Linked DNA regions of Arabidopsis thaliana. The main gene of each other region encodes a partner of the protein of the gene in region 4 in a complex. Each region holds a gene or a part of one and is shown on either strand. Other genes may lie near its edges. The genes, in order: PnsL4, ndhJ, ndhK and NdhM. A codon is read from its position in the direction of its gene.

Evidence for each region.
Region 1: NdhM (region 4) and PnsL4 share a complex: the UniProt entries of both Arabidopsis thaliana proteins name them as parts of the chloroplast NDH complex.
Region 2: the proteins of NdhM (region 4) and ndhJ are in contact, whole or in part, in a cryo-EM structure (PDB 7WFG), measured with the Arabidopsis thaliana proteins. Residues at the interface, in NP_001031804.1 of Arabidopsis thaliana: Thr156 (codon at 1,774), Glu157 (codon at 1,771), Tyr158 (codon at 1,768), Arg161 (codon at 1,759), Leu162 (codon at 1,756), Ser165 (codon at 1,747), Glu168 (codon at 1,738), His169 (codon at 1,735), Arg172 (codon at 1,726), Ser192 (codon at 1,666), Met193 (codon at 1,663), Gly194 (codon at 1,660); in NP_051062.1 of Arabidopsis thaliana: Pro134 (codon at 2,310), Ser136 (codon at 2,316), Trp137 (codon at 2,319), Ile138 (codon at 2,322), Pro149 (codon at 2,355), Asn150 (codon at 2,358), Phe151 (codon at 2,361), Tyr152 (codon at 2,364), Glu153 (codon at 2,367), Gln155 (codon at 2,373), Ala157 (codon at 2,379).
Region 3: the proteins of NdhM (region 4) and ndhK are in contact, whole or in part, in a cryo-EM structure (PDB 7WFG), measured with the Arabidopsis thaliana proteins. Residues at the interface, in NP_001031804.1 of Arabidopsis thaliana: Trp89 (codon at 2,059), Ser91 (codon at 2,053), Val93 (codon at 2,047), Thr94 (codon at 2,044), Arg95 (codon at 2,041), Ile104 (codon at 2,014), Asp105 (codon at 2,011), Pro106 (codon at 2,008), Glu107 (codon at 2,005), Asp117 (codon at 1,975), Lys118 (codon at 1,972), Leu119 (codon at 1,969), Thr120 (codon at 1,966), Leu121 (codon at 1,963), Ile122 (codon at 1,960), Leu123 (codon at 1,957), Asp124 (codon at 1,954), Thr126 (codon at 1,948), Val130 (codon at 1,936), Trp131 (codon at 1,933), Glu151 (codon at 1,873), Ala153 (codon at 1,783), Pro154 (codon at 1,780), Leu155 (codon at 1,777), Arg161 (codon at 1,759), Gln181 (codon at 1,699), Tyr182 (codon at 1,696), Asn183 (codon at 1,693), Met184 (codon at 1,690), Asp185 (codon at 1,687); in NP_051063.1 of Arabidopsis thaliana: Ser3 (codon at 2,451), Ile4 (codon at 2,454), Lys5 (codon at 2,457), Phe6 (codon at 2,460), Pro7 (codon at 2,463), Met83 (codon at 2,691), Pro87 (codon at 2,703), Val90 (codon at 2,712), Arg91 (codon at 2,715), Tyr101 (codon at 2,745), Val126 (codon at 2,820), Asp127 (codon at 2,823), Lys128 (codon at 2,826), Leu129 (codon at 2,829), Ile130 (codon at 2,832), Pro131 (codon at 2,835), Val132 (codon at 2,838), Asp133 (codon at 2,841), Tyr135 (codon at 2,847), Lys156 (codon at 2,910), Glu160 (codon at 2,922), Arg173 (codon at 2,961), Cys174 (codon at 2,964), Phe175 (codon at 2,967), Thr176 (codon at 2,970), Thr177 (codon at 2,973), Asn178 (codon at 2,976), His179 (codon at 2,979), Lys180 (codon at 2,982), Val183 (codon at 2,991).

The regions. Positions count from the first base shown.
Region 1 is NC_003075.7:18,422,599-18,430,223, forward strand, and holds PnsL4 (FK506-binding protein 16-2), read right to left. Parts: upstream 5,981-7,625; 5' UTR 5,728-5,980; coding exon 5,380-5,727; intron 5,294-5,379; coding exon 5,201-5,293; intron 5,022-5,200; coding exon 4,961-5,021; intron 4,885-4,960; coding exon 4,816-4,884; intron 4,734-4,815; coding exon 4,651-4,733; 3' UTR 4,159-4,650; downstream 1-4,158. Other genes in the region: AT4G39700 (Heavy metal transport/detoxification superfamily protein), read left to right, coding at 1,667-1,838, 2,004-2,308; AT4G39720 (VQ motif-containing protein), read right to left, coding at 6,582-6,598, 6,717-6,755, 7,432-7,625. UniProt on the Arabidopsis thaliana protein: NDH shuttles electrons from NAD(P)H:plastoquinone, via FMN and iron-sulfur (Fe-S) centers, to quinones in the photosynthetic chain and possibly in a chloroplast respiratory chain.
Region 2 is NC_000932.1:43,637-51,063, reverse strand, and holds ndhJ (NADH dehydrogenase subunit J), read left to right. Parts: upstream 1-1,910; coding exon 1,911-2,387; downstream 2,388-7,427. Other genes in the region: ndhC (NADH dehydrogenase subunit 3), read left to right, coding at 701-1,063; ndhK (NADH dehydrogenase subunit K), read left to right, coding at 1,130-1,807; rps4 (ribosomal protein S4), read left to right, coding at 5,236-5,841; photosystem I assembly protein Ycf3, read left to right, coding at 6,473-6,598, 7,313-7,427. UniProt on the Arabidopsis thaliana protein: NDH shuttles electrons from NAD(P)H:plastoquinone, via FMN and iron-sulfur (Fe-S) centers, to quinones in the photosynthetic chain and possibly in a chloroplast respiratory chain.
Region 3 is NC_000932.1:48,757-52,378, reverse strand, and holds ndhK (NADH dehydrogenase subunit K), read left to right. Parts: upstream 1-2,444; coding exon 2,445-3,122; downstream 3,123-3,622. Other genes in the region: atpE (ATP synthase CF1 epsilon subunit), read left to right, coding at 1-114; ndhC (NADH dehydrogenase subunit 3), read left to right, coding at 2,016-2,378; ndhJ (NADH dehydrogenase subunit J), read left to right, coding at 3,226-3,622. UniProt on the Arabidopsis thaliana protein: NDH shuttles electrons from NAD(P)H:plastoquinone, via FMN and iron-sulfur (Fe-S) centers, to quinones in the photosynthetic chain and possibly in a chloroplast respiratory chain.
Region 4 is NC_003075.7:17,829,163-17,837,207, forward strand, and holds NdhM (subunit NDH-M of NAD(P)H:plastoquinone dehydrogenase complex), read right to left. Parts: upstream 2,458-8,045; 5' UTR 2,324-2,457; coding exon 1,871-2,323; intron 1,787-1,870; coding exon 1,586-1,786; 3' UTR 1,371-1,585; downstream 1-1,370. Other genes in the region: AT4G37920 (endoribonuclease E-like protein), read right to left, coding at 1-197, 273-438, 530-795, 972-1,155; SHM1 (serine transhydroxymethyltransferase 1), read right to left, coding at 2,729-2,877, 2,961-3,071, 3,153-3,264, 3,345-3,422, 3,505-3,570, 3,652-3,756, 3,844-4,041, 4,120-4,212 and 7 more; AGL21 (AGAMOUS-like 21), read right to left, coding at 6,533-6,670, 6,747-6,830, 6,933-6,974, 7,090-7,189, 7,314-7,375, 7,521-7,599. UniProt on the Arabidopsis thaliana protein: NDH shuttles electrons from NAD(P)H:plastoquinone, via FMN and iron-sulfur (Fe-S) centers, to quinones in the photosynthetic chain and possibly in a chloroplast respiratory chain.

The DNA.
Region 1 (7,625 bases), 600 kb from region 4:
ATAAACTCGTATAGAATCATGCCAATGATGCCATATAAAATACAATTAGGAGTTAGGAAATACATTTAAATAAATATCTAACGGCTGCCGGAAACTTCTTATCGACAGTCTTTAAATAGAGTGCATAAACTTGTTATTATATGTACCGAACGTTGAAGGTTTGCTCGACAACTCCAAAACATTATAAAATTTTGTCAGCTAACTTACCACTAATTATTTCGATCGAGTGAGGAGTCACCTTCATATTCTTATCTATATTTTTATATATATAACAGAAAATTTATAAATTCTTGTCAACTAACTTGCCACTAATTATTCGAGTGGAGTCCCCTTCATATATTCATAGATACATATAACTACAATTTATTATGTCAGCTAACCGTTGGTATTAGTATGAGTTACCAAAAAGGCAAAGATTCGAATTTATGACAAGTTCTGTTTATTGATAGACGAAAGAAACAAAATTGTCCCTATATTCAAGATAAAAAGAACGACTTTAATTACATGTACGTATTTGTATTTGCTGGACGATAATAAACATACAAATTCAATTTTGAGGAGTTGAAAATATTCCCTAGCTTCATTCCAGATAATTATATGAGTTTTTGTATATCTACTATTGAATTATTACGTAAAATTATGAATACGTGAAGAGAATGTAATACATACTATGAAACAGCTAGCTAAGTTGAGAGGGGAGGTGGCACAACTCCTCCAATAAGGAGACAGCCTCACACGCGTATTCCAATCGGCGCCGTCATATTGCCACGTATACAATTGAACGCTCGAGATCTCTTCCCCATACGTGTGAAGCTGTCTCGTAGTGAGTAAATATTAACTTTATAAATCTCCACGATGGTTCTTGCTATTTTTATATATCACCTTTAAATTTTGCTAAATTTGATCATTGATCCTAATTAATTTAATAATGAACCGACTATTAATTATGCTTTAGATAAATTAGTATGAATTCGTTAATAAATGCATGGCTCTCTCACCTTCTTTCTGTCTTCCTTGTGAAGAACAACAAGATTTAAATAAAAATACCTAAAGTTATTATTCCATGATTTAGTTGTATTCACATCACATGGATTCCCTTTTCCCTACAAAGCTTACCTTCGTATATATGCTAAGTTAAAATAGTAACATATATACATTTGTTCAACAATTGGATACAAATATGAACCAAAAAAACAATTGGTTACAAAAATACTTTAAATGATTGAATTTAGTATGGTTTTAAAGCGTATATATCCCTTTAGTTCCACTTTTCCCATCAAATATCTTCTTAACTAAACCACAAGGTCTTTGGCAATTGGCATATATATTGCTTACGGTCTAAGTTCTTAAAGACATCTTTTTCTATTTTTTATAAAGTTGGCCAAATTTGTGTCAATTATAAACACAACAACATACTTTTTCTTTCGTACCAATACAATTATATACACAAAAGTAATTCTTTATTAAAATATCAAATTAAGGCCTTTATAAGTCGAGGCAACCAAGCTAACAACTCATTGCAAACTGAAACCAAAACAAATATCTATACAAACACATAACACATATTGAGAGCCAGAGTGAAAAGAATTATACCCATTACTAATCGCCTTTATCTGTGAATTTTCTTGATAAAAAGAAGACACAAGTCAAAGATAAAATCAACAAGATGGGAGTTGGGGGAACGTTGGAGTATATATCAGAGCTAATAGGGAATGGAGGAAGCCATAGTTATGGAAAAAGGAAGAAGAAGAAGCAGTTTCAAACAGTAGAGCTCAAAGTTAGGATGGATTGTGATGGTTGTGTCCTCAAAATCAAAAACTCTCTTTCTTCTCTAAAAGGTAACTAGCTTCTTCTTTTATAATCAAAATTCTCGTCCGAATTTGTGTTACTGTCCCTTATGAGATGTGTTTGCTTACTCCTATCTAAAACTTATATAAATACATGCATCAATCATCATGCATGCATATATATAACATGAAAAATCTTCCTTCATATATTTTCAGGAGTGAAAACGGTGGAGATAAACAAGAAGCAACAGAAGGTGACAGTGAGTGGTTATGCGGATGCGAGCAAGGTGCTGAAGAAGGCTAAAGCGACGGGGAAGAAAGCCGAGATATGGCCGTACGTACCGTACAACTTGGTGGCTCAGCCGTACATAGCTCAGGCTTATGATAAGAAAGCACCGCCTGGTTACGTCAGAAAAGTTGACCCAAACGTCACCACCGGGACGATGGCTGTTTACTACGATGACCCTTCTTATACTTCTTTGTTTAGTGATGATAATCCTAATGCTTGCTCTATTATGTAGTTTTTTTTTATTTATTAGATAATTTATAAAGGAATTTATATAATATATGCCGGTAATATATGCATAAATGTGGGTTATAAATTTTGGTGTTTGTTCTCTTTTAGTTCATGGTTTTGTCTTCTTTTGCATGTGCTCTTTGTTGGTGTTACAAGTGAATGTTTTATTAATATTAATATAGATCTAGTATTATATTAGCTTAATCAATTGGATATCGTAAGTAATCATTGTTTACTATCATTGGAAGATATAAGTGGAAACTAGTTAATTTTTTCTATGCTAGTTTCAAACTTACAAAACAATAACAAAGACGTTTGTTTTTGGTTAAGGTGTTTCATGGTCTTTTAATTTGAGTTTAGTTTTTTGGGACCCCAATATTCTAACTCTTTTCACCCACTCTCTTTCTCTTTTACATACATTATTAAAAGAAAAATCCAAAAATGGATAGTAAAGATCGATCACATAAAGCTTAAAAAAACTGTGTATCATAACATACACGGGTCATGTAATCTTTCTATACATACAACTACCCCCACCATACTATATTTTAAAGGACTTATTCAACAATTTTTACTGATATGATTCTTGCTCTTCAGTCTTCAGGTGTAAACAAAGTAAGAGCATCCTCAACAATAAGCTCTTATTAAAAACCTCTTAACAACAATAACAATGATTATTTTATTATAATATTATTATATAAATAAATTTTAAGTTTAAGAAAAAAATGAACCAATGTATAAGTGACATGTGGCTTAGGTGGTTTACTTGATTATTAAAAACCTCTCTTCATTCTCTTATCTAAGAGCTCCTCTTCATTTTTTCTCTTCTTCTTTCCATGTTTTTATTTTTATATTACTAGATGAATTCCCACGCTACGCGTGGGTTTGTTTTAAAAATTCTTTAGATAAAAATATGTTAATTATTTTTGTCGCTAATTTATGTTTACTTTTTGTTTGTTATTTTATACTTAGTAAAATTAGACTCATCTTATGTACTTACATTTTTATTGTTAGATTCATTTTTGACTCTAAATATCAATTTTTATATATTTTCATGTATAATCTGATTATTTTTATATCCAAAATTCTAAAATTTGTTCATTATCATGAATACACACAATAAGAATATAAGATATTTTGATTTCAAGAGTTTTCGTATGAAAAAAAAGAAGCAAAAATTAAAGAGTTATTTTAGTAACACTTTTTAGATTTTATACTATTGCATATAGCCGTATAAGACAAATGGATTTGTTTTGAATTTTGTGGTATGTTTAACGTCTCAAAAGTCTATTACTTAAAAATATTGAATGTCAATGTTACGAACTTACCTAAAGATACAAAAATAAAAATACAGAATTTCATATGATAAGATATGAACCATAACGTAATAATAATTAAAAAATCAAGGTAAAATAACTACACTAATATTAGGTAGCAAACAAATAAACTACAACATAAACAACTATTTAGTCATTATAGAGTGATGACCATTGACCATTAAAATTTTTAAAAATAAAAAATAATAAAAGTAAAATAAAAGTAGTAATTGATTTATTTAAATAAGTAATTTTATTTATATTTATATTTTGAAAAAATCATTTAAGAAATGAATTAATGGAGGATTTAACACAATATGAGATTTTTTATTTTCTCTCAATTAATTTTGCTAATTTTAATTTAATCAATATTAAATGACACATGATATTTTCTTATGTGATGATGTGTCACCCATATGGAGAGAGTTGGCCAACTTTCATATATATGATTTCTTTAAAAACCTCATTTATCTTAGAACCCTCCATTGAGGATGGCCTAACATCAGCCTTTAAGAACCTCCGGTACGCTGTAAATTAGCTCATGCACTGTGTTTTTCCTGGAAAATCGAAAAATGAAGATTTGTCTTATGTATTTTCAACATGCTCAAGTAGGCAAGAACCAAAGTTTTACACTTTTTTTGGCCTTAAGATTCATGAGTTGTTGTGAGGGGACCAATTACAGAGATATGACACCGATGAAAAACCACATCACACAACTTTATTCTAGACTCTGTACATCTTTGTGACACAAGCTGCATCACTTACCAAGACTGAATCTAACCTAACACGCGCTTATACATTTATGCAAGTATATGATTTTCCAAGGTCATAACTTAACAAAAAGACAGATCTGCACAGAGAAGATGTGTCTTGTTCTTTAATAGGAGGTTAGACATTGGATTCAGTTGGAAATCATCAATGTTTTAGGTTACAGAAATTATAATCTGAAGCTTGTCAAAAGTAATCACCTGGTGATATACATCACATACATAGTTGTTTGTTCCTTTACCAAACGGGATTGGAGTTGGCTTCATCTTGTATTACTTCCTGGGTAGATCTCAACAAAGTTGATATCATAGAGCAAAGTTGCATTGCCAGGTATGTTGCAGTCACCTGCATAAAGAGTCGATTTATTACTCGAGATACATATCTTACATATACAAGTGAAACTGTTACAGAGGAATTGTGCAAGTACCAGAAAAGCATCCTGCAGGCTCTGGTCCATAAGCTAACTTAGGTGGAATCTGAAGTTTACGCTTTCCGCCTGCAAAATAAAACCGCACCAATATGTTATCAGCCAAATAAAGGACATTGAACAAAGGAAAATACAGTACACTTGCCTACTCGCATAGGAGGTACTCCTTCGCCTCCAAGAATCCCCTGGTCTAGTCCCCTAATTACCTGATCATTTTTGGACATCAAGAGTTTAGATATATAGTTGTTTTGCTCACCCTAATCACAAAGAAGAACATAAGAAACTAACTAACTTCAACAAAGACAAGTGTGAACTTTGCTAGCAATGCAATTGAAGACTATGGAAGCTAACAAAGAGAGAGAGAGACAATGGTTCTTTGTTGTACCTTGCCGACTCCAATTCGCATAGTAAGTGGTCTTGCACGCTTATAGCTACTGTCAAACAACGTTCCATCTGCAAACCTCGCCGTGTAATGGATCTGTGTGTGTGTGACCAACTCTCCAAAGTCTCAAACTTTGAATCAAAAACCCTAAACAGAGGAAATTAGAGAGATGGAGAGATTACATTGACGAGTACGCCACGAGGGGCTTCATCACCAAATCCAACATCGAGATCGCAAAATCCAAGTCCTGATTTTGCGTAGCTGTATTCGCAGAGAGGATCTCCTACAGTGGCGTAGTAGTCAATCCTCGTGGCGTCTGCGTCCAGAGGCGTTAGAGAGAGAATCGAAGAAGCTAGGAACCCTAAACCCACTCCGAAAACGCGTTTCTTGACGGAGAGTTTCGGCTCGCAATCGGAGGAAGAAGAACAGAGACACGAAAAGGACGAGGAAGAAGAAGAAGAAAAGAAGATGGTTGGTCTGAAGGAACGTGTATAGAGAGATTGTGTGAGTGTTAAAGTAGAAATCGCCATTCTTCTTTGAGTCTTCGTTTCGATCTCTGCTTCCTTATCTGCGTGAAGCCAGAGCCTTTGGTCTGAATCTTTTGTCTTTTGAGTGTGCAACGGTACAATGGATATGATTATGGGACCCACCCGTATTTTTTTGGATTTCTATTTTCAACAGAACAAAAATAATAATGAAACTTTTGGAGCCAATCGGCCCACAAAATTGAGAACCCGAATCGAATTATTTGGATAGTAAGATAATGGCCAGACCTAGTTATCACTCAACTATGAAACCGAGTATCATCTGAATACATAGAAAACCCATCAGTGCGACAATAGCTTGATATCATGGTCCACCATAACCACCACCATAATATTAAACCATCATCATCACCCATTATTATATATTCCATTTAGATAGAGATACACATATATGCACATTGTTGATAGTTTATGTAAGTGATGTGTATAGGTTATACAGTGCATTGGTGACTTAAGTGTAACTGGTCCGTGGACAAAAAAATATCAAAATCATTTGAACTTTTGTATACACAAGAACAAGCAAAAGATTTTTCATCAAATGTCATTATTTGTTTTGCGACCATCAATCCATCATCAAATCTTATTGTGAAAAACAAGAATTATTATTTTTAAGAGTTACTATTATACTATACAGTAGCAAATGATATTATTGAAAACCCCGCTTACAAAGAACTGACATTTCATTCTGAAGTGTTGTTAAGCTAGAGACTAGAAAGAGATATAAATTAAGCTGAATATTCTAACGATTGATTGGTTAATGAGAAGACTGAAAAAAGTTAGGAATTTTGTAGACGCATCACATTCAGAGCCGTGACAAGGTCAATGGTTGTCGGAGGCGGTCAAATGAAATTTGCCCCTATTCACAAACAAAGAGACTTATAATAATAGAAGTAAAAGTGTCTATAAAGATAAATTGTCATATGACAAAAGTAGGTCAAAACCAAAATGTATGTATAATTATCATTATTGATTACCTGTTTTTCTTTTGCTTGGGAAATTTTCAAATTTCAAATCTGTTGGTATGGTAAAATGAGAGTCAAGTCAATAAAAATTGACGTTAATGTAGATGATACACCAAAAATGAATAAGCACATGGGAGAACAGTAATTTATCAAATTTCAAATCACCACAAGTCTATAATTAATTAATAATTATATACTATGGTCCCAAAACCATATTCCACAATCCGGCGGCCGTGGAAGATTCCCCAAATTTCGCCACCATTCACTCCAATATTAATTAGGAGAAATATTAACCGTAGTGATCCCAAAACCACGTACTGTATATTGATTGTTGAAAAATTAAAATTTCATATCGCAAGTCATCGTTGTCATTAAAATTTAAAAGTTCTATATAATTATAAGAAAATATACCAAGAAAATCTGATTCAAATGGTGAGATCCATCTACTAACTAATACTTACCAACATATAGTTATGGAAAAAACTAAGATTAACAAATAACAAGCATATTAATTAAGTATTAAATAATTAACAAACCCTACACGAAAAAAGTTTTAAAGTGGTTTATACTGAAATATAGAATATATAAACGAGTAACTTCATCATGCTATATGTGCTATGTTTAATTTGTTGAGTAATCATGTCAAGAGATTAGCTTTGATTTCGGACTTGGACTATACATAAATATATTTATGTTCTCTGGTCGGAAGACGAAGATAACCAAGTACCGTCATTATTATGTTCATGATCGGAGCCACCGTAGCTTCCATTATCACCGGTGTTTATGTTCCCGTTAGCCGCTGCCGTTGTAGTAGGAGGATTAGTAGATGGAGTCTGCATCATACCAAGACCAAACTGATCGTGCTCATTGCTTCTAGGGTTTGAAATATGAGCTTGAAGAAGAGCTTGCAGATTCATATCC
Region 2 (7,427 bases), on a different chromosome or scaffold from region 4:
ACCATAAGTCCTGGGGATCGTTCAGAATAAAACGGAAAATTTCATTTTATTTCAATGGAGCCAATCACTATCTATCGATATATCGAGATAGATACTTAATTTATAATTTAGAATAAACCTTTTTCTTCATTAATTTTCATAGTTGTAATTTTTTTATATGAATTTTCCTCGTTCACTAGCTACAATCAAAAAGTTCATAATACTTTCTTTTTTTTTTTGTATCCCCACTCAATCTTGGTTACTTTTTTTATCACACGGCCTTGTTTAAAAATAAAAAAAGAAATCTAATTAAATTCAACCAAAATTCAATCTATCTAATACTAAGTAAGATGAGTATGGTAAAGTCTTACTGGATTTTTTGATACGTCATCATTTAAAAAACGAAGAGATTTTTCGAAAAATTTTTTTAAACATAAACAGAAATAAAAAAAATTACTAGTTATTAATCAGATTAATATTATATTATTATATTAGAAACTATTAGTAATAGAAACATGGAACTATTAAGTAATAAGTGTACTGAAAATAAGAAATCAATAAATCTTAAAACGAGACGTCTACCACAACAACCAAACGAAAAAAAATGATTCGATTAACCTGAATTTTTGTTTTGACTCAAGAGTTCTATATCCCTTGCCCAATCCACTCCGATTGGAATTGACTAAGCGGGTATTTTTTCCACATTCATAGGAGTTCGTCTATGTTTCTGCTTTACGAATATGATATTTTCTGGGCATTTTTACTAATATCAAGTGCTATTCCTGTTTTGGCATTTCTAATTTCCGGAGTTTTATCTCCAATTAGGAAGGGGCCGGAGAAACTTTCTAGTTATGAATCAGGTATAGAACCGATCGGGGATGCTTGGTTACAATTTAGAATCCGTTATTATATGTTTGCTCTAGTTTTTGTTGTTTTTGATGTTGAAACTGTTTTTCTGTATCCGTGGGCAATGAGTTTCGATGTACTGGGGGTATCTGCTTTTATAGAAGCTTTCATTTTCGTGCTTATCCTAATTCTTGGTTTAGTTTATGCATGGCGAAAAGGAGCATTGGAATGGTCTTAGTTCGTTTACCGAATACTTGATACAATAATAAAAAAAAAAAAAGTAAAAAAAACCATTGAAACAATTATGAATTCCATTAAGTTTCCCATACTTGATCGAACAACAAAAAATTCCGTTATTTCAACTACGTTAAATGATCTTTCAAATTGGTCAAGACTTTCCAGCCTATGGCCGCTTCTTTATGGTACCAGTTGTTGTTTCATTGAATTTGCCTCATTAATAGGCTCCCGATTTGACTTTGATCGTTATGGGTTAGTACCAAGATCGAGTCCTAGACAGGCGGACCTTATTTTAACAGCAGGTACAGTAACAATGAAAATGGCTCCTTCTTTAGTGCGATTATATGAACAAATGCCTGAACCGAAGTATGTTATTGCTATGGGAGCCTGTACAATTACAGGGGGGATGTTCAGTACCGATTCTTATAGTACTGTTCGAGGAGTTGATAAGCTAATTCCTGTAGATGTCTATTTGCCGGGTTGTCCACCTAAACCAGAGGCTGTTATAGACGCTATAACAAAGCTTCGTAAGAAAATAGCTAGAGAAATCTATAAGGATCGAATTAGACCTCAACAGGGTAATCGGTGTTTTACTACCAATCACAAGTTTTTTGTTGTACGCAGTCCGCATATTGGAAATTATGATCAAGAACTACTCTATCCACCATCATCTACTTCAGAGATCTCTACTGAAACATTTTTTAAATACAAAAGTCCAGTATCGTCCCACGAATTAGTGAATTAGGGAGGCTTTTAGAGAATCAGAAAAAAATCTTCATAAATTAGAATTAACGGTAAATGTGAAATACTTAATTTTATATAAAAAAGGTGTGGGGGAAATAAAAAAGATGCAGGGCACTTTGTCCGTTTGGCTAGCCAAACGCGGGCTGGTTCATAGATCGTTGGGCTTCGATTATCAAGGAATAGAGACTTTACAAATAAAGCCCGAAGATTGGCATTCTATTGCTGTAATTTTATATGTATATGGTTACAATTATTTACGTTCGCAATGTGCCTATGATGTGGCACCAGGTGGCCTCTTAGCCAGCGTGTATCATCTTACGAGAATAGAATATGGTGTTAATCAAGCGGAAGAAGTCTGCATAAAAGTATTTACTCACAGGAGTAATCCTAGAATTCCATCCGTTTTCTGGGTTTGGAAAAGTACGGATTTTCAAGAACGGGAATCTTATGATATGTTAGGAATCACTTATGATAGCCATCCACGACTGAAACGGATCCTAATGCCCGAGAGTTGGATAGGGTGGCCTTTACGTAAGGATTATATTGCCCCCAATTTTTATGAAATACAAGATGCTTATTGAATGATAAAAAATGAGCCAATAGGATGAACTAAAAAAAAAGAGTTCTGCATTATGAACTTTGTATCGCGCACATAACTTAGTCAACTTTAGTCACATAACTGGGAATGAATAAATAAGATCGGAAAGCAATAAATGAAGGGGGGGATACAATTCTATTTCTATTGTATCTAATGAACCTTGGGGTATTTTTGCCCTTCAACTATAGTATACTATACATATAGACCTTTTTTTACTTGTTTGATTCAACGGAACTCATTTAACCTTTCCTTTCGGATATGTATTATGTATCAAGTATTATACATTCTTTTTGAACGGCTGGATTCACAACATGAACAAAAAAAAGAGAGGGGATAAAGCATAATTGCACTTTTTTTACTAAAGATACGTTTAATTTGAAGAATAAAAACTTATCAAAATTAATAAATCCTCTGCCAAGAACCAGATTTGAACTGGTGACACGAGGATTTTCAGTCCTCTGCTCTACCAACTGAGCTATCCCGGCGAAGGATCATCCTCGTTTTACGAATGGTGGCACAACGATTTCAAGTCCCCCGGAAAAAAGCTATGTCCACCATTAGTCTACTGAAGTATCAAGTATCATCTACTGAAGTATCATGCTCGTTTTCCTAATGGTGACACGAGGATTTCGAGTCCTCTGCAAAAAAGCTATGTCTACCTTTACTGAAGGATCATTATCATGTGACACAGGGATTTTAAGTCCCCCGCAATTAAGCTATGCCGACCATTACTGAGGTATCATCTACTGAAGTATCATCTTGCTTTTACTAATGGTGACATAAGGATTTTCAGTCCTCTACTAATGGTGACATAAGGATTTTCAGTCCTCTGCAACTAAGCTATGTCGACCATTACCGAAGGATCATCTTGCTTTTACTAATGGTGACACAAGGATTTTCAGTCCCCCGCAATTAAGCTATGTGTACCATTACCGAAGTATAATCTACTGAAGTATCAGTATCATTTTAATATATGACTTAGGTCTATGTCAATGAAAAGAAACTCAAAAGTAGTAAATTCAAAAAGTTGTGGACCGGGAATTTCTTGGATTTTATAAATAAAAGAAGACTTTCTAAGTTTGAAAATGAAAAATGATATAGATTATAAATAATTCAAATAAATAATAACGAAAAAAAGGTAAGGTGTCAACCTTTTCGGGGAGTAGAGCTGGGGATAGAGGGACTTGAACCCTCACGATTTTAAAAGTCAACGGATTTTCATCTTACTATAAATTTCATTGTTGTCAGTATTGACATGTAAAATGGGACTCTATCTTTATTCTCGTCCGATTAATTAAGTTCCATCAAGGATCTATCAGACTATGAAGTGAATAATTTTATTTTAATCAAGAAATATTATTTCTTAAACTTCGAATTGATTCACAACATTTTGATTTTGTTTATAAAAAAATAGAAATCGAGATTCAGGTCGTCATTTTTGAGATCGTTTTGTGTTACCTAAATTTATACAATATAGGTTTTTATCCTTCATCCTTTTTGATTTGAAGTTTCGATCGAAGGATTCCTTTATGAACACAAGGTAGTGAACTCCATTTGTTAGAACAGCTTCCATTGAGTCTCTGCACCTATCCCTTTTTTCGCGCTTTGTAAACTCCGGTTTGTTCGCGTAAACCAGGATTTGGCTCAGGATTGCCCATTGTTAATTCCAGGGTTTCTCTGAATTTGAAAGTTATCACTTAGTAGGTTTCCATACCAAGGCTCAATCCAATTAAGTCCGTAGCGTCTACCAATTCCGCCATATCCCCTTTTTTAGGATCTCATTATGATGTCTTTCCTTTTTTTTCTTATGCCGAAACCTCGGGATTCATTACATTATAGATACTTATTTTATGTCTTTGTTATCTTCTTTTATTTTTTTGAGCTCCATCCATATTGATTTAGTCTAATCAACAAAGATTCTATCATTTTTGTATTTGCAATTCAATATGGTTATATATTACATAACATATATATGTTCTTTTTTTTTTCATCTTTGGCTTAAATTTTCAGAAATAGTCGAACGGTCGATTCTTTTTTTTTTTTTTACTTTCATGAAAAGAAATTTATTATTATTATTATTGAAACTTAGAATTCTACAATGTGCAATGGAAAAAAATTATAAGTCTACTTCGTAAATTTGAAATTCTAATAATTCTATACTATTCTATGACTATATAGATATATATATAGAATTAAGGTTATGTTTTATTTATTTAATGATGAATGATAGTCACTATTTATGTGAGCTATATTCTGTTCTAGAATATATAGAATATCATTAATTCTAACTAGATAAGGAAAAATATTAATAGAATAGTTAATTGATACGATCTAGTAGTTTAGTGAATTTGTATGCATGCGCTATTTTATTTGAGCCCGCTTAGCTCAGAGGTTAGAGCATCGCATTTGTAATGCGATGGTCATCGGTTCGATTCCGATAGCCGGCTTTTCCATATTTTTTCGTTTTTTTTTACATGATTTTTAATGTACTTTCAAAATCAAAGAAGATTGAAAAGACTTCTTTGACCTTTTTCCAAGAGTTACCACTCCATTTATATTATGTCATATAAACTTCCATATTAGGAATATATATTGGGTAAAAGAGTTTGATCTTTGCAAAATTAATCAAGAAAATAAAGGAAAATTTTTGTGATTTAGTTGATTTATATATATTGTATATACAATAAAAAAAATCTGTATATTGAGAGAATATATCTTCTTACTCTTTGTATTCCAATAGTGGAGTGTATTTCACGTCATTTATCATTATCATTTAGTTCAGTTTTAATTTTATTTAGTTTTGTACAATTTCAATCAAAAAAGGAGTCTTTATGTCACGTTACCGAGGGCCTCGTTTTAAAAAAATACGCCGTCTGGGGGCTTTACCGGGACTAACTAGTAAAAGGCCTAAGGCAGGAAGCGATCTTAGAAACCAATCACGCTCCGTAAAAAAATCTCAATATCGTATTCGTTTAGAAGAAAAACAAAAATTGCGTTTTCATTATGGTCTTACAGAACACCAATTACTTAAATATGTGCGTATAGCCGGAAAAGCCAAGGGGTCAACAGGTCAAGTTTTACTACAATTACTTGAAATGCGTTTGGATAACATCCTTTTTCGATTGGGTATGGCTTTGACTATTCCTCAAGCGCGCCAATTAGTTAATCATGGACATATTTTAGTTAATGGTCGTATAGTTGATATACCAAGTTATCGCTGCAAACCCCGAGATATTATTACAGTGAAGGATGAACAAAACTCTAGAACTTTGGTTCAAAATCTTCTTGATTCATCTGCCCCTGAGGAATTGCCAAACCATCTGACTCTTCACACATTCCAATATGAAGGGTTAGTCAATCAAATAATAGATAGGAAATGCGTCGGTTTGAAAATAAATGAATTGCTTGTCGTAGAATATTACTCTCGACAGACTTAATAAACCTAACTTAAGTAAAAAAAAAAATTACTAAAAACAAGAGTTCGGACAACTCCCCTTTTCCATTAAAAATAAAAAGGCACAAGGTAAGGGATTTTGTCAAAGAATATTTTTCCTATTCATGTATCATAGATTGGTAGGGAGATTGGGATCCCTTGTTTGCTCTTCCCAGCATTTTCCATATGAAAGAAATTAGGAATAGAGAATCTATTTCAAAATCAAAACAAGGTAGATCTTATATCGATTCTTTTTTATTGGATTTGATACATTGTGGTCAATCACGTAAGATTGGTGAATTTGTTGAAAGTACGGAAAGAGAGGGATTCGAACCCTCGGTAAACAAAAGTCTACATAACAGTTCCAATGTTACGCCTTCAACCACTCGGCCATCTCTCCGACATCAAGATTATGACTGAGTATCTGGGTGAATAGCGAGTTATTCATCGTTTTTTAGATTATGGTTAATAGATACCCTTTTTGACCGGAAAATTTGGAAGTAGATAGAAGGTTTTTTTTAATGAGTCCGCTTTTATGTTAGTTCGTACTATACAATTCCTTTGTTTGTGAGAAAATTTTCTCACAAAAGAAAAGGTAAAGGAAATAAAAAGAGTTAGAGAATGGATTACTACCTATGCCAAGATCGCGTATAAATGGAAATTTTATTGATAAAACCTTTACAATTGTAGCCGATATCTTATTACGAGTCATTCCGACAACTTCCGGAGAAAAAGAGGCATTTACTTATTACAGAGATGGTGCGATTTGATTATCATTATTTTTTTTCTCGCCGATTTTGATTGGAATAGAAAGAAAAACGAGTATTGAAAAAAAATCTACGCTTTTGAAGGTGAAGTTTATAATATAAAAAAAACAATCCCTTCTGTCATGTATCCACGATTAATGCAGCCTTAGATGCTTCAATTGTGAATTATAGTATTGAGCAAAAGGTTTTTACCTATGGTTCCCGTATTACAGATCAATCCTACTACACTAATACAATATACGAATAGGAGGCATAGGGGAAGAAGCACTACGCCGAGAAATCAACAACACGAAAACTTTCTTAAAAATGATTCCCTTTCTTCTTCTTCGTTGGGATTGGGACTAATTAAAATGGTTGGAACAATAAACATCCATCTCGTTCGTATTTTGGATACCCGTATAACCATTGAAGACTGTTGAAGTGACTAATTCCTGGAAACTTAGGGGCGTTGAGAACAAAGAAATTTTTAGAGTTTCCTTTTTTATTTTTATCTAGCATGAACCCACTTGGTAGTAAGAAAAGATCTTTTGCAAGAAGGTTGGCTAGGGATTTCTTGTAAAAACATTAGCCCCGCTTAGTTCATAATGACATCACATTTTTACATATATTATTTTCATTATGCACCTAAAGGAGGAGCCGTATGAGATGAAAATCTCACATACGGTTCTGAAACGGAGAGTTCGTTAAAGCGAATGACGACCGTAACGGATGTCGGCTCAATCTGAAGGAAATTATGCGGAAGCATTACAGAATTATTATGAAGCTATGCGACTAGAAATTGACCCCTATGATCGAAGTTATATACTCTATAATATAGGCCTTA
Region 3 (3,622 bases), on a different chromosome or scaffold from region 4:
CTTGAAATAGCAGAAGCTAACTTGAGAAAAGCTGAAGGTAAGAGACAGACAATTGAGGCTAATCTAGCTCTCAGACGAGCTCGGACACGAGTCGAGGCTCTCAATACGATTTGATTTTGTAACTAGCTGACGTGTAAAAAAAAAGAATGTATAAAAAAAATAGGATCGAAAGACGATAAAAACAATAAAATAAAAAAAGCTGGTTACAAAAACTTATTAGACACCATTGATCATGGTGTCTAATAAGTTATACCTACTATTGGATTTGAACCAATGACTCCTGCCGTATGAAAGCAATACTCTAACCACTGAGTTAAGTAGGTTATTTATCATTGTAAAGAGAAGGAAAGGGGATACCTATCACATCGATAGGATTATAAATCCAATATTATTTCTAAGCAATACCAATAAACAATGAGATCAAAGAGATATAATGTTCGATCATGTAATATTAATCTTGACAAGAAATTATCTACATGATAAGATAAAATGTGTATCACAAACACAAGGGCTATAGCTCAGTTAGGTAGAGCACCTCGTTTACACGTGCGCCAAAGTTTTTCAGAGGAGTCCATCACGCAATCAAACTAATTGATTGATCTTATTAAGAAATCGATGTCTTACTCCATGACTTTTTTTTAGGAAAAAAGAGGAGAACAACAGCCTGACATTAGGTCCTATTAAAGTACCCCGTTAGGTAGGGAATGAATAGAACCCATCATTGATTTGAGATATTGATAGGGTGAATACCCAGTCTACTCAATGCTAGGTAGAATGAGTATAAGGAACTCAAAAATGATCTTTTCGTCCTATGAACCTTAAGGTGTATCAAGTTTCATGTTTGATTTTTTAATCAGGATGTTAGAGACTATATTTAACTTAAGTTGATCTAGACCAAAAGCAAACCTACGTCAAGAGAACCCTTCTTTGAAACACTTTGGTAGTTCTTCTGTATTGTATTAGAATTCAAAAATAATCAATCAGAGTACTTGGAACCATTTCTTATCTTTTTTTTAAGAAAAAATATGGTAGACTAACTGATCTTTCGATCAGTTAATGAAAGAGCCCAATGCAAAAAAAAATGCATGTTGGGTCTTTGAAAGAGTTCGAATCATTTTGATAATAATAAGTTCGAACTCTTTTACCGAGCAGGTCTACGGTTCGAGTCCGTATAGCCCTAACTAAGAAATTTATTCTAAAAAATCACATTAAAATCAAAATAATTGGATAAATTTTTTTACTTTTTTTTGTATTCTTTATTTCTAACAGGTTACTTTTAATTGCTCGGTTCATAAAAAAAATTTCCATATCATAAACCATAAGTCCTGGGGATCGTTCAGAATAAAACGGAAAATTTCATTTTATTTCAATGGAGCCAATCACTATCTATCGATATATCGAGATAGATACTTAATTTATAATTTAGAATAAACCTTTTTCTTCATTAATTTTCATAGTTGTAATTTTTTTATATGAATTTTCCTCGTTCACTAGCTACAATCAAAAAGTTCATAATACTTTCTTTTTTTTTTTGTATCCCCACTCAATCTTGGTTACTTTTTTTATCACACGGCCTTGTTTAAAAATAAAAAAAGAAATCTAATTAAATTCAACCAAAATTCAATCTATCTAATACTAAGTAAGATGAGTATGGTAAAGTCTTACTGGATTTTTTGATACGTCATCATTTAAAAAACGAAGAGATTTTTCGAAAAATTTTTTTAAACATAAACAGAAATAAAAAAAATTACTAGTTATTAATCAGATTAATATTATATTATTATATTAGAAACTATTAGTAATAGAAACATGGAACTATTAAGTAATAAGTGTACTGAAAATAAGAAATCAATAAATCTTAAAACGAGACGTCTACCACAACAACCAAACGAAAAAAAATGATTCGATTAACCTGAATTTTTGTTTTGACTCAAGAGTTCTATATCCCTTGCCCAATCCACTCCGATTGGAATTGACTAAGCGGGTATTTTTTCCACATTCATAGGAGTTCGTCTATGTTTCTGCTTTACGAATATGATATTTTCTGGGCATTTTTACTAATATCAAGTGCTATTCCTGTTTTGGCATTTCTAATTTCCGGAGTTTTATCTCCAATTAGGAAGGGGCCGGAGAAACTTTCTAGTTATGAATCAGGTATAGAACCGATCGGGGATGCTTGGTTACAATTTAGAATCCGTTATTATATGTTTGCTCTAGTTTTTGTTGTTTTTGATGTTGAAACTGTTTTTCTGTATCCGTGGGCAATGAGTTTCGATGTACTGGGGGTATCTGCTTTTATAGAAGCTTTCATTTTCGTGCTTATCCTAATTCTTGGTTTAGTTTATGCATGGCGAAAAGGAGCATTGGAATGGTCTTAGTTCGTTTACCGAATACTTGATACAATAATAAAAAAAAAAAAAGTAAAAAAAACCATTGAAACAATTATGAATTCCATTAAGTTTCCCATACTTGATCGAACAACAAAAAATTCCGTTATTTCAACTACGTTAAATGATCTTTCAAATTGGTCAAGACTTTCCAGCCTATGGCCGCTTCTTTATGGTACCAGTTGTTGTTTCATTGAATTTGCCTCATTAATAGGCTCCCGATTTGACTTTGATCGTTATGGGTTAGTACCAAGATCGAGTCCTAGACAGGCGGACCTTATTTTAACAGCAGGTACAGTAACAATGAAAATGGCTCCTTCTTTAGTGCGATTATATGAACAAATGCCTGAACCGAAGTATGTTATTGCTATGGGAGCCTGTACAATTACAGGGGGGATGTTCAGTACCGATTCTTATAGTACTGTTCGAGGAGTTGATAAGCTAATTCCTGTAGATGTCTATTTGCCGGGTTGTCCACCTAAACCAGAGGCTGTTATAGACGCTATAACAAAGCTTCGTAAGAAAATAGCTAGAGAAATCTATAAGGATCGAATTAGACCTCAACAGGGTAATCGGTGTTTTACTACCAATCACAAGTTTTTTGTTGTACGCAGTCCGCATATTGGAAATTATGATCAAGAACTACTCTATCCACCATCATCTACTTCAGAGATCTCTACTGAAACATTTTTTAAATACAAAAGTCCAGTATCGTCCCACGAATTAGTGAATTAGGGAGGCTTTTAGAGAATCAGAAAAAAATCTTCATAAATTAGAATTAACGGTAAATGTGAAATACTTAATTTTATATAAAAAAGGTGTGGGGGAAATAAAAAAGATGCAGGGCACTTTGTCCGTTTGGCTAGCCAAACGCGGGCTGGTTCATAGATCGTTGGGCTTCGATTATCAAGGAATAGAGACTTTACAAATAAAGCCCGAAGATTGGCATTCTATTGCTGTAATTTTATATGTATATGGTTACAATTATTTACGTTCGCAATGTGCCTATGATGTGGCACCAGGTGGCCTCTTAGCCAGCGTGTATCATCTTACGAGAATAGAATATGGTGTTAATCAAGCGGAAGAAGTCTGCATAAAAGTATTTACTCACAGGAGTAATCCTAGAATTCCATCCGTTTTCTGGGTTTGGAAAAGTACGGATTTTCAAGAACGGGAATCTTATGATATGTTAGGAATCACTTATGATAGCCATCCACGACTGAAACGGATCCTAA
Region 4 (8,045 bases):
GATCAATAAGATCAATGAGGAATCAAGCTCCTTTGCCTTGGCTAAACTTCTGATCTTTTCGCAAGCAGAATCCACGGATGGAGAGTTTAAAATATCTTCAAACTTTGCTTGAGCAGTATCTAGAGTCTCAACACTCTCCAACGTGTTGTCATAAGCACTCACAGCAGATAAACATCTAGTTGCAAGCCTCGCAACAGCTGCTCAAAAATAACAAAACAATCATGAAACTGTGGGAATCAATAAGTAAGCAACATGATTAATGTTTTAAGTACCATCTCGGTCTTCCAAGCCATCAAGAGTTTCTGATAACAAAGTAACATAGCGGAAAAACTCTCCCGTAAAGTCTCTGCGTCTCTTGGCAGCGATTGCGTTTATGTCTGTTGGGTTTTCTTGAATCTCCTTCAAAAGGTCATTGTGTTTCTCCATTTCCTTATCTATCTGCAACAATACTCACTCCTATAAGTACACAACAACAACAATAAACTAACCTGAGTTCACTAATAAACACAAAATACAACACTATAAATACCTTCTTGACTTTACTTTCCAAAGATACCAGTTTCTGCTTCAATATAGGATCAGTTTCGGTATCAGCTCGGATTCTGCAACGCTTATAGAAATTAACACTGTACTTGTTCCATTCATCTCTTAAAACCAAATACGTCTTCCATTGTTTAACTTTAGGTTTCTCATTCAAGAAGAGATCAATAATCTTGTCACAAAACTGAGCCATAGTGTAACCTTCAGCAACCTCAACTTCCATTGGATCCTCAACAGAGCTTTTTACTTCCGCACCTAAACACAAAATTTCTATCTTCAATAAAAAAAGCTTCTCTAACTAGACGAATCCTAGTCTATGAAAAGGGTTTAGCTTATCTAATGGTGACAATTAATACAAATTGGAATCTAAAGAAATAGAATTTATTGGTAATTAGACAGAAAGATTAGAGATTTAGGGTTTATGAGCTTACTTGTAGTGCCATTGTAAGTGACAGTGTCGGTAGCAAAGGTGATAGTTGAGCTTTTGCGTATCTTTCTTCCTCCATTGATGAAAGCAGAGAAAGGGAGATGATGGGTTTGAGAATTCTTAGGCGGGAAAGACAGTAATTTATCAGCAGAGGAGAAAAAGATTGATGTTTCCAGTAAATTCGCCATTTTTTCTCCCTCACAAAGTTCGTCTTGGTGACGAACAACGAGAAACACCAGAGGATAAGAAGAACAGGGTTTTAATTGTAAATAATTAGTAAACGTTGACAAATTCAAAAACTTAATATAACTTTTTGGGTAAAAATGTTAAAACTAACAAGTTTTGCATCAGTTTGAAATCTTTTTAAAAAGAGGCAAGGAGTAAGGAACATGAATGAGCAAGACCAGAATTGAGTTTCTTTGACATTACATATTCACATGACCTTAAGACCTTACATTAACAAGAAAAGACAAAGAAACTTAAGATTGATTATTACAAAAATAATTATAGCATATGTCATGATATATACATATGTTACTTTGTGATAGACAAAATTAAAAAGCATACTACAATATATTTATATTCCCATTACATGATTATAAAATAGAGTTTGTTTCACTAAGCGTCCTCTTGAGGCTGACCATCTCCACCACCTTCAATGTTACTGGTATTGAATTGTACACGAGGCTTTCCCATACTGAAATTAAGAACTCTTGCATCCATATTGTATTGTATTTCTCCATCGAACAACATCTTCCTTATGTAATGTTCTACGTCCGATCCTATCAATCTCAATGTGTACTCCGTTAATGGTGCTCCCTGTTCAAAAACAATATTATAAGGTCTTCTTGAAATGAGTCTAACTTTTAGATGAATGTTTCGTTCGTTTATTGTTATCGTTACCTCGTAGTGATCGACGAGTTCTTGGAAATAAGAATAGACCTTGTTACAGCTTTCATCATCCCACACAAATTCTTCAGTAGGATCAAGAATCAAAGTGAGTTTATCCATTTGTGACTGGTCAAACTCACAAGTCTCTGGATCAATATAAGCAGCGTAGATCCTAACGTGACGTGTGACACTGCTTAGCCACTGACCACCAAAATCGCCCATACCCTTGCTCTTCACGTTCAGCTGTTTCTCCACTGGTCTCAATGGTGTTGGCTGCTTCTTCATCTTCTCTGTTGATTGCTCTTCTTTGAGTGTCTCTGTTTCTTGTACTTCAAGAGTACTGTCTTGTTCCGGATTTGTCACCACGAACGCCTTTTGTGTTGTTCTTGGTCGGATTTGAGCAACCATAGAAGGATGTAATAGAGAAAGCTTGGTGCAGGCAGTGTAAGAGAATGCTGCAACCATTTTTCTGTCTAAGAAATGAAAAAAAAAAAACAGAACAAGTTTTGAGATGTTGTCCGGTTACAGAACCATATTCTTGTAAAGAGATTTGATGAGGTTGAGAAATGACCACAGCTTGTGGATGAGCCTCTCCCAACTTCTAGTTTCTTATTTATCCCTTTCTCGTTTTGTTGGTATTTTGTGGTTACTCTTAAGTCACTTGTGAGCTAAAGACAATCTTCTTTAGGGAATTCACTGTTTTGTTGTATGTGTTTTTTTTGTCTAAGTATATTTCTTTTTGATGTATAGAGAGAAAATTTAACAGATCATTATTTTTCGCATAGCGTGAAAATAGAGTTTTACATGTATCATCTATACATTCCATGGGAATTCAAAGCATAACAGAAAACACTTGTGGGGTGAAACAGTTTAGTTCTTGTACTTCATGGTTTCTTTCTCAAACCCAATTGTTGGGAACTGCTTAGCGAATTCCTCGACTTCATGGCGCAGTTTCGCAATCTCGGATTGGATGGTTGAAGAGGATTCCATTGCTGACACGAAATCCTTCAACTTGGTTCCTGGTTTTAGAAACATAACAAATGAGTTCAATCATTGTATATAAGAACGGAAAGCATAGCATCGTGATCAGAGAAGTAAAAACCTTGAGCTTCAGATTTGACTTTGAGAGCTATTGTCACAGCTTTGTCGAAGTATTCAGCTACTTTGGCAAAGTCTTCCTCAACAAAGCCTCTGGAAGTGAGAGCAGGAGTACCTGAAAATAACAATGGCAGAGGATATCAAGAAGAACTCCATTCGAATACCAAAAAGAAAAATGGTTAAATGTGATTTTTACCCATTCTGATTCCACCAGGAACCATGGCAGAAACATCTCCAGGAACAGTGTTTTTGTTGGATGCAATGTGAACAGCTTCCAACACTTTCTCAACTCTAGATCCATCAATTCCCTGCAAACAAAATCGAATAAAAAATGAGTTTTAACTAAGAAATATAAAAGAAGATTATATACAAAAAAAGATCAAGTGACCTTGGGCTTTAGATTCACTAGAACCAGATGGTTGTCAGTTCCACCAGAAACAAGTTCATATCCTCTCTCCATTAGAGTCTGCACGAAACAACAATGTAGAGATATAATCAAAGTAGATACTACGCCATATGTGTTTTTCTTTCCTTCACGGGATTAGTACCTGAGCAAACTTTGCACTGTTACTCAGGACTTGTTCTTGGTATGCTTTGTACTCTGAAGTAGTTGCCTGCATTTTCAAACCATTTGAAGGTTACAGAAACCGCAAATCCAATAAGCAACGTTAGTTCCATTCCGTGCCTCACCGTACCTGTTTCAAAGCAACAGCTAGTCCTGTGATAGTGTGGTTGTGTGGACCACCTTGAAGACCAGGGAAGACAGCTTGGTTGATCTTGTCTTCAAAATCATACAAAACCTTTCAAGACAACAAATGAATGACGTGAAAGATTATACATAAATCTAAAACATTTTGGTTCAAATTTTGCTTCTTTTTCTTTTTTACCTCTTTCCCTTGCTTGTTAATTTCCTTAACACCCTTTCTGAAGAAAATCATGGCTCCACGGGGTCCACGAAGTGACTTGTGAGTTGTGGTGGTTACAACATCAGCATAGTCGAACGGTGAAGGGATTACATTAGCAGCAACCAAACCACTGATGTGTGCCATATCTGCTAGCATTACAGCTTTTTGCTTGTTACAGACCTGGGAAAAGAGTTCGAATCAAAACTCACTACTGATTACAATAATCTGTTCTGTAGTTGGATATGAGACTGAAATTACCTTTCTGATGCGGGCATAGTCATACAATCTAGCATAAGCACTTGCACCAGCAACAATCAATTTTGGCCTGAAAAGAGTAGCACTTTTCTCCATCTGCAAATCAAAATTAAAGACTTATGTATTGTTATGAAGCGGGTTAGTTATAAGTTACTATGATTGCTTAATAGAAGAGTTAAGAACCTGATCGTAGTCGATGTAGCCAGTGCTCTCGTCCAATCTATAGGGCATTGTTTCAAAGAAGATAGACACAGCTGATATCTTCTTGGTGTCAGTCTGATGAGAAATAAGAAGAAAGAAACTGTTATTCATCAGAGTCAGAGAGTTCCGAAATGACATACAAAGTTAACTTGAAGGCACCTGATAACCATGAGAAAGATGACCACCATGAGGAAGATCAAGTGCCATGATTCTTTCATGAGGCTTTAACAATGCAGTGTACACATGGAAGTTGGCAGGAGATCCAGACAAAGGTTGAACATTCACTGTAAGATCCAGTCAAATAAGCCATCAAAGGACTAATCAGATTTCTTGTTTCTCATATACATGAAAGTAGTAATTTACCTCCCCACTTTTCAGGATCTAACCGGAAAGCTTCAAGAGCGCGCTTCTGGCATAAGGTTTCTGCCATGTCTATATACCTACAAAGCAAAAGGTACTTGAGATTTCAATTCTTATTACAGAGATTGGTCAAGCAATCATGTCCTGAAACTAAATGTGTCAGATTGAAAATTCCTGAACATACTCATTTCCTCCATAGTATCTGGCACCAGGATAGCCTTCACTGTATTTGTTAGTCATGACAGACCCAACAGCTTGCATCACCGACACAGATGTGAAGTTCTCAGATGGAATAAGTTCAAGTCCCTATAATAACACAAGCGTTACAAACATCAGCCTAACTTATAATAATCAATCAAGGAACAAGATTTAAGAGATAGTAATCTCAGAGACAAACTAACCTTCCATTGTCTAGCTTTCTCATGCTCAATAATGTCAGCAATCTCAGGATCAACCTCCTCTAAAGGTGCGTTAAGCTGTTTTGGCCACTGAAACGAACGTTTACAAAGACATAAGTTTCATTAGATTCAGTCACACCAAAAATAGAACTCCATACATCAATTTGAAACAGACATAGAACTTCAACAATCAAAACCATTGCTTCAACCACAAGGAAAACTATAAACAAACAAGAGATACAAAAAGGCGCTTAAACTCACAGTGACACGAGATCTTTCCTTCTCATCAACAGCTTCACTGGGCAAAGAAGACTGCAACGGAACAAACAGAAATCAGAAAAAAAAAAAAAAAAAATCGAAAATTTCCAATCCGATTATAAAATTCGGAGATAAAAGGAAGAAACTTTAGGGTTGTTACCATGTAACATGAAGTGGATCGAATAAGAGGACGAATGGGTTTGTCAATTGAAGAAGAAAGCCTTCGAAGAGCCATGGCCATCGCCATTTTTCGCTAAACCTCTCTCTATCTCTGGTTTGTGAAACCCTAGAAACAGATTTGAAACATGAACGAGAGAGAAGAGAGAACAAAAATAACAAAATTGGGTTTATCTTGTTTGAGAGAATTGTGGCCTCTGCTTTTGGCTGAGCTTTTGGTGGTTGCAGCAAATTTTCGAATTTTTTCCCTCTTTTTTTATTTATATTTTCTTCTGATTTTTATTTTATATTTGTTGTTTCTTTGTCGTTATCTCTCAGGTCCCTGTCTACACCAACCTTTGTGAATTGTGATGATTTGGTGACGACGATGATTTGTTTCCCTTTAAGACAGAACCTTTATTGGTTTCTGGTCAGTGCAGTCAACGATAACCGATTCAGTTATCACACATCAATTTAATTTATATAGTTTCCAAACCGGTTAGTTTGGGGGAATAAGATTAACAGAATTATGGTGAATTTACAAAATAAAACCAACAAAACAAAAAACTTAACAGAAAATGTTTATTTAACATTTTAGAATTACCAAGTGCATGGTTATATATATTAAACAAATTATTGATCTAAGAATATTGATATTTGAGAGAGTTTTGAGGATAATAATTCATATGATTTTTCTCTATTAATTGACGAATCTATGGTTATAAACAAGTACAATATTAATACTCAAGATGAGTATAACAACACCGGATTTTAATTATATATGCTTTAATTATATTTAGGATTGAAAATATGACTATGTTAGAAGAACCATGCTGCTTATCGTACGTGGCTTGGTGTATAGAGGTTTCCAGTTCAAGAACCTTATTCAAACCAAGGCCTTTGGAGTGTTCTTCAACATCATGGTATCTTCCAACTTCAATCTGTGAAAGTTTTTAACGAGTTACATAAAATATATAAAATGCCTAAATGGTGCATGCATGTTTGTGAAACATCAAGATCAATTAAAAAAGTTTACCTCTCTGTTATTCGTTTGCTCTTGGTGGAGTGTCATAATCGGAATGTTCAGGCTGGCTTAGTTGCAGCCGAATCTGAGTGTGTGATTCATCATCCGCAACAGCTACTTCACGGTGTGTAAACCCGTTTGTGTTTGCCATATAAGCCTGAAAGTCGAAGCCATATCACTTCGAAGCTCTTACTCCAAAGAAAATGGAGTTTTTGTAAAACATGATTTGTTACCTTCTTGTAGAGCTCCACATTTTCTTGATGAATCCGTTGTACTTTCCTAGATAAATCGAGGTTTTCCTGATGAATAAGATTCCTCTGCACCACGATCAACAAAAATCCCAAAATTAGAATTGTAACTTTTGGTAGGGGATATTTGTGTGTGTCAGTGTGTGTATATATATATCTCATCATAGTGACCTTTTGGCTTAGTTCTTGGATTTCTTGAGTCAACAGTTGTTCCTGTGAATCCGGAAAAGCAATCGTTCTATTGATTTCCGTTGTGTTCTATAGTCAATCTTTTGAGTAATACACTCCAAAGCATATAATAGAAGGTAGAGTATATGTATTTATGTACCTTTCTCATACGAATTCCACGCAAACTTATCTCAATTTGATTCTCAAGACTGTTTAGCTCGTTAACACTTAAACCATTTAGCTGTTCTCCCATCATTTGCCTGCTTCATAGCAAACATACCGCAATCCATAACTACAAGTTTCTTCATTTCCTTTACATGCCTTCTATATTTTGATCAAAGACTAATTCTTAATACAAAATGTTATAAAAGTTCAAGGCGATACCGATGATTTTCTTGCAAAGCATGCAGTTCTTGTCTTAGAACAGCAGCTTCTCTCTGCCAAAACTGTAACACACAACACAAATAACTCATCAAACTTTGAACAGCTCAGTAAACCAAAATCTCATTTCAAAAATCAAACATCATGCTAAAGCATCAATCAATATATAATCACATATCTTTAGAGTTGTCGCTATATCTATATGTATACCTTGACTTCTGATGCGGGGTTCAATAGTTGTTGTTGCTCGATCTTGCTCTTGTTGTATCTATCAATAACCGACTTCATGCTATTCAAAATATTTAATATTAGTATACCTTGTTCATGGTATATAATTCACTCATATCATATCATCTCTTAGAGTAAATTACGTAAAAGATATTAATTTTCGATCGTGAAGTTTTTCCAAGTACTCCATTAAAAAGCTTTCATACGTAAAGAAAAAACTCATAGCCTAGAAATTTGTGCAATATAGACTTTCCTGCATTGGCAACATTATTTACACACGCTTATATATGTACACATACATACATTTCACATAATGTATATAATCTTGAACTCAGCAGTAATACGAATTTGTTACACAAACTAGATAAACTATATATAAAGTAAGTAGATGTTAGTTTCTTTTTTCAATAAGTAACAAAAACAAATGCTTAAATGTTATTTCTAGGGTGTAGATAAGCAAGAACTTTAAAGGAATCCAGTTCTAAGCTATAAACAAAATGACATAAA